Tamandua tetradactyla: one gene and its partner. The protein of the gene in region 2 interacts with the protein of the main gene of each other region in a biochemical or structural test. Links are inferred from orthologs where the notes say so. Each region holds a gene or a part of one and is shown on either strand. Other genes may lie near its edges.

Region 1 (3,743 bases), on a different chromosome or scaffold from region 2:
TTGTTTTACACAGCTGCATACTATGCCACTGCACATCCATACCACAGTTTATTTTCCCGCCCCTCCACCCCACAACTCGCCAACCCTTGTTGGAGCCGTTATCAGTTCATCTGGTTGTTATCAATAGGCTAAAGGTGCCATCTCAGGGGTATTTTAAATTTGCATCTTCATTTTTAAAAAGTCAGCTATACGGCCTTGCCGTGCATTGAAAGAGTGAGGCCTGTGAAAAGACATGATTGGGACATTTGGAAAAATTGGGATACAAGTCTGCATGTCAAAGTTCTTGAACTTGATAACTGCACTTAAGGTGGTGACATGAATGGCTATGCTTGTTCTCAGGAAATGTGCATGGAAGTAGCAACTGTTCAAAAAGCGTGATGTATTCAGTGTGCTTGCAAATGTTTAGAAGACAGATGGATTTCTAGAATGATACAACGAATGGGGCAAAATGTTAAAAGCTGGTATATCTGGGGAAGGGGGACATAGGTGTATCTATGTTTTTTGTTTGTTTTTGCGTCTTTCCTGTAAGTTTGAAGTTATTTCAAAATAAAAAAAAAATTTTTTTAAAGGGAGGCACATGAAACTAGCTGTCTGGAATATCGAATGTGCCAATTCCCTGCCCATGCCCTAAATTACACCCAAGGAGATCCAAAGAAAGGCTCCCAAACGGTGCTGGAACTTTCCAAGGCAGTCTTCCCCAGATCCACCACTGAGCACCCAAGGCCCTCCCAGGCTGCGGGGTGGGGGGTGGGGGTGGGGCTTGCGTCCCTGCCCTCTCGGGCCAGCCACTCACAGTAAACGGTGAGCGCAGTGGAAGCTATGGTCTGTTTGTTGCAATATGAGAAGCAGATCGCAGTGCTGTCTTGGTCCACGTCGCTCAGTTCAAAGACCTTCCAGTTGCTTCCATTGGCCACCTCCATCTTGGTCAGTGTGGTCTCCAGGCCCAAGAAGGAGGGGTGGTCACAGCTGGCACTGCAGTTCACGCGCACGGAACCTCCTCGGGGCAGGATGGCTTCTGGGGGGTCCACTGACGTGTGGGTACTTCCAGACCCTGGAAGAAAAGGGTTGTTTAACTCTAAGGAGGGGGCAGGCATATACAAGTTGGGGGCATCGACAACGTGTATTGAGCACTGACTGTGTGCCCAGCGCAGGCTGGGGGCCCGGGCCACAGCTGTGAACCAGACAAAACTCCCTGATTTAGTTGTGGGAGACAGAAAAGTTCACGAGTAAACAAGGCAGTCAATAACCAATGTCAATAAGGATTTTGACAAGAAACAAAGTGCTAGGGACAGAAAAGTGAGCGCTTACATGGCAGGGTGCGTTCTCAGCAGAGAGCTGAGTGATAAGGAGCTGGCTGCCCAGGGAAAAAGGAAGTGAGTTCCACATTAAGGGAACCGTAAGTGCAAAGGTCCTGGGGCAGCATGGCTGGGGTCAAGCGGGCAAGGAAATGAGGTCAGGCCCATCAGGCGGGCAGTGGAGGCCAGGCTGAGGACGTGTCCTTTATTCTGAATGCAATGAGAAGTCATGGGACTTGCAGTGGGTTCTGGGGTCCCTCCTGAGAGGTCAGGTGAGAGGAGCCAGTCTTCTAGGAACTGAGGGCTTTCCAATCAGGCTGGTGTTCGCTGCCTTGGACAAGTGGTTTCCTTTCTCTGGGCTCCTTCACACTCCCATCTGTAAGTTGGGAGAGTATAGTCACCCCACCCCCTTGCCCACCATGTTAGTAACTCCTGGCGCCCCACAGGGAGCAAGAGGCTGCAGGGAAGAAGGCAAGGAGGGGGTCATTTTCATTAACTCCGATCAGACCCTGGAGTCTCTCTGAGCTCCCACCCCCCAAAAGATTCCTGCCTTCTTAGATCTGCTCAGATCTAGCATGGAGGTGGGGGTGGAGAGTGGACAGGGACTACAAAAACCATCTGACAGTGGTTCTCAGATCATTCCCATTTCACAGAGGGAAATGGTGAGGTCGGGAGAGGGGTGGCTCAGCTAGAAAGGGTTTGAGCTGGCACTAGAGCCTAGAGACAAACTTCCAAGCTCCTGCTACCCAGCAGGACCATCAGTTGAGACTCGTTTTCCTCCCCCCCTTCCCCAGTCCCCAGCTGGGCTGGCTGAAGTTGGAGGGAAGGGCTGGCTGGGTGCTTCTCCCCGCCTCCCAGCTCTCAGAATCTGCCCCTGGGTAAGACCGTTCTGGAATTCCCCTGAGCGAAGCAATCCTGGAGATCCCCCGGGTCAGAGGATAAGGAACAGAAAGTGTGCTCGTGTGGGGGCTGGGGGGATAGGGTGGAGAGGGGTCCCTGAGCCTGTGCAGCTTGGGGGCGGGGTCCCCCTCGTTCCTATCAGGTACTGGCAGCCTCCTGGCGTCGCAGGGCTCTCAAGTTCTGCCTTTTACAACTGGGAAATCTGAGGTTCTGGAGGCGCGAGGTCTGGATTCGAATCCACCGCTGTTCTTTTCCGATCAGGGGTCCCCCATAAAGGCCCTGGGCCACTTCACTCGGAGATAAACACGTTTTCTAAGTTCGATCGGTCTTAACGCCTGCGGTCCCGGAGCCGCTGCTCCCCGACGGGGCGCACCCCCACCCCGACCCCCGCCTGCAACTCACCTGGGAGCAGAGCCCCGAGCAGGGCCAGGAGCGCGGGGAGCGCGGGGAGCGCGGGGCGGGTGCGGCCGGGATCCATAGCGACGCAGAGCAGGGCGGGAGGGATGCACCGAAGCGCAGGGCTGCAGGGCGCTGGCTGCGGCGCAGGGCGCGCGGCCGCCCTTTATAGGTCCTGGCCGCAGGGGGCCGGGGGCGGTGTCGCCTTCCCGGAAACCTCGCGCCTTCCCCCTTCGAAGCAGGCCTCAGGCATTTCCGGATCGAGAGGGCGCCGGGCCCGCGCGGAGTCTTTGCCGCTCGCCGGCCGCTCGAGCACCGGAATTTCCGTGCTGAGGCAATCCCGGGGGGCGCGGGGGGAGGGTGGTGGTGGCAGTCCCGTCCCCCCCCCCACCCCGGCGGGGTCAACCTGGATTGAGCGTTGACATGGAGCTGCTGAGCGCATGATGGCACACAGCGCTTCCGGCCACCCTGGAGAGGAGGGACGGGTTTGGGGTGTCCTGTTTTACAGACGGGTAAACTGAGGCTCCGAGCCGCGAAGGGATTCGAACCCAGGACTGAGTCCCCAGCTCGTGCAGACCCATTCCTTTAACCGAGTGGGGGCGAGCCCCTCGCTGGGGTGGGGGCCCACCCTCGGATGGAGGGCGCCTCTTCCCCCCAGAGGCATGTCCGGGCACCTCCGCCTGGCTGACCTCGAGATTTCCCGAGAAGTGGTGGAGGCAAGTTCAGGCACCTCGAGGTGCCGTGTGACCACGGGGGAGGACAGCGGGAGGCGTCGTCAAGTCCGGGGGGTCAAACGGCGCTCCGCACTCACCCCCCACCATGAGCGCGCCCACCCCCACGGCTTCGCTTCCCCTTTCTGCCAAAAAAGGAAGGAAGCTGCTTGGTCCTAACGCTCGGAGCCGCCTGGCTTCGGTGTGGTCTCGGGCTCCGCGGGGAAACTGAGGCAGCAGCTCAGCCCTTGACCCGGACAGAGACAGGGGGTGCTGGAACCCTACTCTTGCTCTCCGTAGGGCGCGGAGAGGGGCGCTTGTATCACTGCCCTTGGGTGCGCAGCTCCCGCCCCTCGAAACCTGGGAGCCGGCACTAAATATGCGCCAATGTTTACCCGGACTGGCTTCATTAGGCCGTGGGGGTGGGGGAGGCGGGGGCTTT
Region 2 (3,743 bases):
CACGCAGCCCCGCAGAGCCGGGGCCCCCCGGAATGGGGACGTCTGCGGGGTCGGCACCGCGTGGTGGGTGCTGACTTGCTCCCACAGCCCCGAGCCGGTCCCCGGGCTCTGCAGCCAGGAGCACGGGAGCCTCTGGCTGTTTTTAGCCAAACACCCTGCCGGAGGGCGAAGCAGCGTGCTGGGAGTCATCTTTGCCACAAATCAGCCAGGGAACTCCGTCTGGGTCACTTTCGCCTCCACCTTCCAGAAAGTTCCGTATACCTCATCAGACACTCAGGGAGGACTTTCCCTGTGCTGGGGCCCTGTGCGGGTCCAGTGTAGGGGGCAAAGCTGCCGTGGGAACGGCAGGAGGAGAGGGAGCCCCCAAAGGGCCGTCCAGGCAGGGGGGCGCCGGGCAGCCAGGAGGGGAGAGGGTGAGGGGCTGGGGGCCTCCCACGGGCCGGCTGCCCTGAGCTCCGGTCTGTGCACCCCCCACTGCACTGCCCAGCCCCAGACACAGCCCTGGGACACACAGAACCGAACCGGTACAGAGGCTTCTGGAAGTGTCCACCAAGGAGAGGGCACTGGACATAACCACATACAAATGCAGACATCCTTACCATGTGATCATGACCGTATGATCATTCCATTCTTGATACATAATCAATAACTCAACATCATCGCATAGTTGTGTATTCATCATCATGATCATTTCTTAGAACATTTGCATCAATTCAGAAAAAGAAATATAAAGAAAACAAAAAAATTCATACATACCATACCCCTTACCCCTCCCCTTCATTGATCACTAGCATTTCAATCTACTAAATTTATTTTAATATTTGTTCCCCCTATTATTTATTTATTTTTAATCCATATGTTTTACTCATCTGTCCATAAGGTAAATATGGTTTTCACAGTCACACAGTCACATCGCAAAAGCTATATCATTATACAGTCATCTTCAAGAAACATGGCTGCTGGAACACAGCTCTACATTTTCATGAAGTTCCCTCCAGCCTCTCCATTACACCTTATCTAAAAAGGTGATATCTACTTAATGCATAAGAATAACCTCCAGGATAACCTCTTGACTCTGTTTGGAATCTCTCAGCCATTGACACTTAATCTGACTCATTTCCCTCTTCCCCCTTTTGGTCCAGAAGGTTTTCTCAATCCCTTGGTGCTGAGTCCCAGCCCATCCTAGAATTTCTGTCCCACGCTGGCAGGAAGGTCCACACCTCTGGGAGCGTGGCCTATGCTCAGCCGAGCCGGCCCCTCCTGCGCCCCCTGCCCGCTCCCGGCGCCCGCGCCTCTGCCAACTTCCTCCCTCCCATCCAGCCCTTGTCTTTTCTGGGCCCTTCCCCGCCCCCGCTGTCCAACATTTCTTCCCACCAGTAACTTCCCGTTGCAATGTCAACTGGGCTGTGGCCCCACGGTAGGGGTGGGGGGCGGGCACAGCACCCAGAGATGCGTGGGGCGCAGGGGCAGGTGAGCGTGGCAGGAAACGGCAGCGCTGGATGCGGGGTGCTGGCTCCGAGGGCTTCTTTCTCATCGGAACCCCCCGCCCTGGAAGACCGGGCCGCACCTCTGCTCGCCCTGATCACCCAGCCAGGGCACCGCGGAGGCCCCAGAGGGCGACTCCTGTCCCTGGGCAGGCGGGGTGGGGGCTGGCTCGGGCGAGAAGGCGGCCGGGGTGCGAGAGGCTGGGGCTGCCCCCACCCCCGTGCTGTCCCGAGGCTGGCTGGTGCCTCACCCCCACCCCCTGCACGGCCCCCCCAACCCACAGAGAGCTCCTTCCTCCTTCAGCCTTCCCCTTTGCAGCCGGTGCCTCCCGGGGTCGGGGGGGTGGCGAGCGGTGGCCCCGAGAGGGGGTAGCAGGAGGGGGCGGCGGGGGGGGAGGGCCAGCGGGGCCCAGGGCCCTCTTGCTCCCCAACCCTCGTCAGAACCCACGACGAGGGGGCGCGTCTGACGTGGCAGGAAGGAAAGAGGCGACTTTTTGTAAATTCAGAGGAAATTAAGCAAGTAAAAACATTGAGCAATTGTGGACTCCAGGGGAAGGGGGACAACAAAGAGTCATCAAGGAGGAAAACGTGATGGTCCTGTGTCCACTCGGCTCAGTAGGGGACACTTACGTGGTTAGACTAACTAAAGCAGTGAACGTGGATTACAAACAAAACCGACACAAATCCATGAAAGGGGGGGCGGGATGGGGTGCACAGTGAACGCCCTCATCCACTCACGCGGGGGCAGCCCAGGCATTCCTGCCCTTCAGCTCCCCTCCTCGGGCACCACAGAGGCTGGGCTGGCTTTGGGGGGCCCCTGCAGGAGGTGGGGAGCCTCACCCAGGCCCACCCCATTAGACTTGGGGTCCCCACCTGCCCTTGGAGCATACAGCGCCTCTTCTGCCTGACGCTTATCAAAACTGCAATTTCCTGCTCAATTTCTGCTTTGAACCCATCCTCAAACCGAGTCCCCCAGGGCTGGCTTCGGGGAAGCTTGGCCATTGAAAGTCTGGCTGCCTTGTCAAAGCGTGTGCTTCCACCACAGAGCCCTGTGACTCAGTTTCCACGGGTGCTTTCTCACAATGCCTCTGCCTGGGGTCAGCCCGGGCGGCATGGAGGAGGAGGCTGGGGCTGGGCCCCGCCCGCCGGGCCCACACCGCGTGAGGACGGGGCACGCATGGGACCCCCGCGCGGGAAAATCACAGCCATCCGCCGTGCTCTGAGAGTGGGACTGCCCCTTGACTTACGTTTCTTCCCTCTGAAGTTTCTGCTGCTATTTTCCAGCTCCTGAAACTGGGGGATTAATTTAATCTTTGCGCCAGTTTCTTGGCCCGCAATGAGCGGGAATGAAGGAGCGCCCTGCTCACTTTACAGCACCGAGGTGCCAGGGAGGCGCTGGGCTTCTCGGCCCTGGAGGGGATGGAGGAAGAAGGAAGCAGGGGAGGGGCGGGGCTCCGAGGCCTCCCCGCCCCAGGGGAAGGCGGGTTCCTGTGGGCGGAGGTTTGGGGGGACAGGTAAAGCACGTGGGCAGACCCTCGCATCAGCCCCCCACACCTTCGGCCTCCTCACCTCCCTCCAGGGGACCCGCCTCAGTGGAACCCAGCTCCCTGCCACGTCCCTGGGCGCACCTGGGGGTCCCACCGCAGGACTGACAGGCATGTCCCACCCGGGGGGTCGGCCCTGTCCCTAACTGCCGGGGAGCTGACCCCTGGCTCATGTCCAGGGAACTGTGTGGAGGTGCGCAGGCCTGGGGGGTACCCTCTCGGGGTCTTGGTCTCCTCTCCACCATGTGAGGAGGGGGTCACGGCGGCTGTGTGTCCCAAGGGTTGAAGGGGAGAAGGGGGCAGAGGACAGTCCCCTCCAGGTTGGCTCGGGGCCGGGTGGGTGGTGGCCCCTGTCAAGGGCAGAGAGTGGACATGGGCACCACGTGACCACATGGCTGCCACCACAGCCCCTGTGAAGGCCCGCTCTGTTTGCACACTCAGGTGCAGGGCCCTGGTGTGGGGGGCCGGGGTTTTCACACGGGAACCCAGAAACCCTGGGCCTGGGTTGCTTGTCAGGATGCAGTCTCGCTGGCCCACGGCCAGCCCAGGGGGGCCCCGGGCTGAAACTCTCATGAAGCAGCACCAGCTCCCGCGTTCCCACAGGCACCCCAAGGGGGGGTGCCCAGGCCACTCTGGCTTGGGCCTCGGCGGAAGGACCTGCTGTGAAAGGTCAGCCGTCCCCCAGCGCCCCTGCAGTGTGGGGGCGACCTCTCTC

The links.
Region 1: the proteins of ITGB2 (region 2) and ICAM1 form a complex in vitro, tested with the Homo sapiens proteins (4 studies listed by BioGRID). The link is inferred for Tamandua tetradactyla from reciprocal best matches to the Homo sapiens genes ITGB2 and ICAM1.

Annotation. Positions count from the first base shown.
Region 1 is NC_135337.1:91,498,922-91,502,664, forward strand, and holds the start of ICAM1 (intercellular adhesion molecule 1), read right to left. Parts: upstream 2,725-3,743; 5' UTR 2,674-2,724; coding exon 2,598-2,673; intron 1,052-2,597; coding exon 794-1,051; intron 1-793. UniProt on the Homo sapiens protein: ICAM proteins are ligands for the leukocyte adhesion protein LFA-1 (integrin alpha-L/beta-2).
Region 2 is NC_135336.1:107,129,955-107,133,697, forward strand, and holds the start of ITGB2 (integrin beta-2), read right to left. Parts: upstream 2,930-3,743; 5' UTR 2,732-2,929; intron 1-2,731.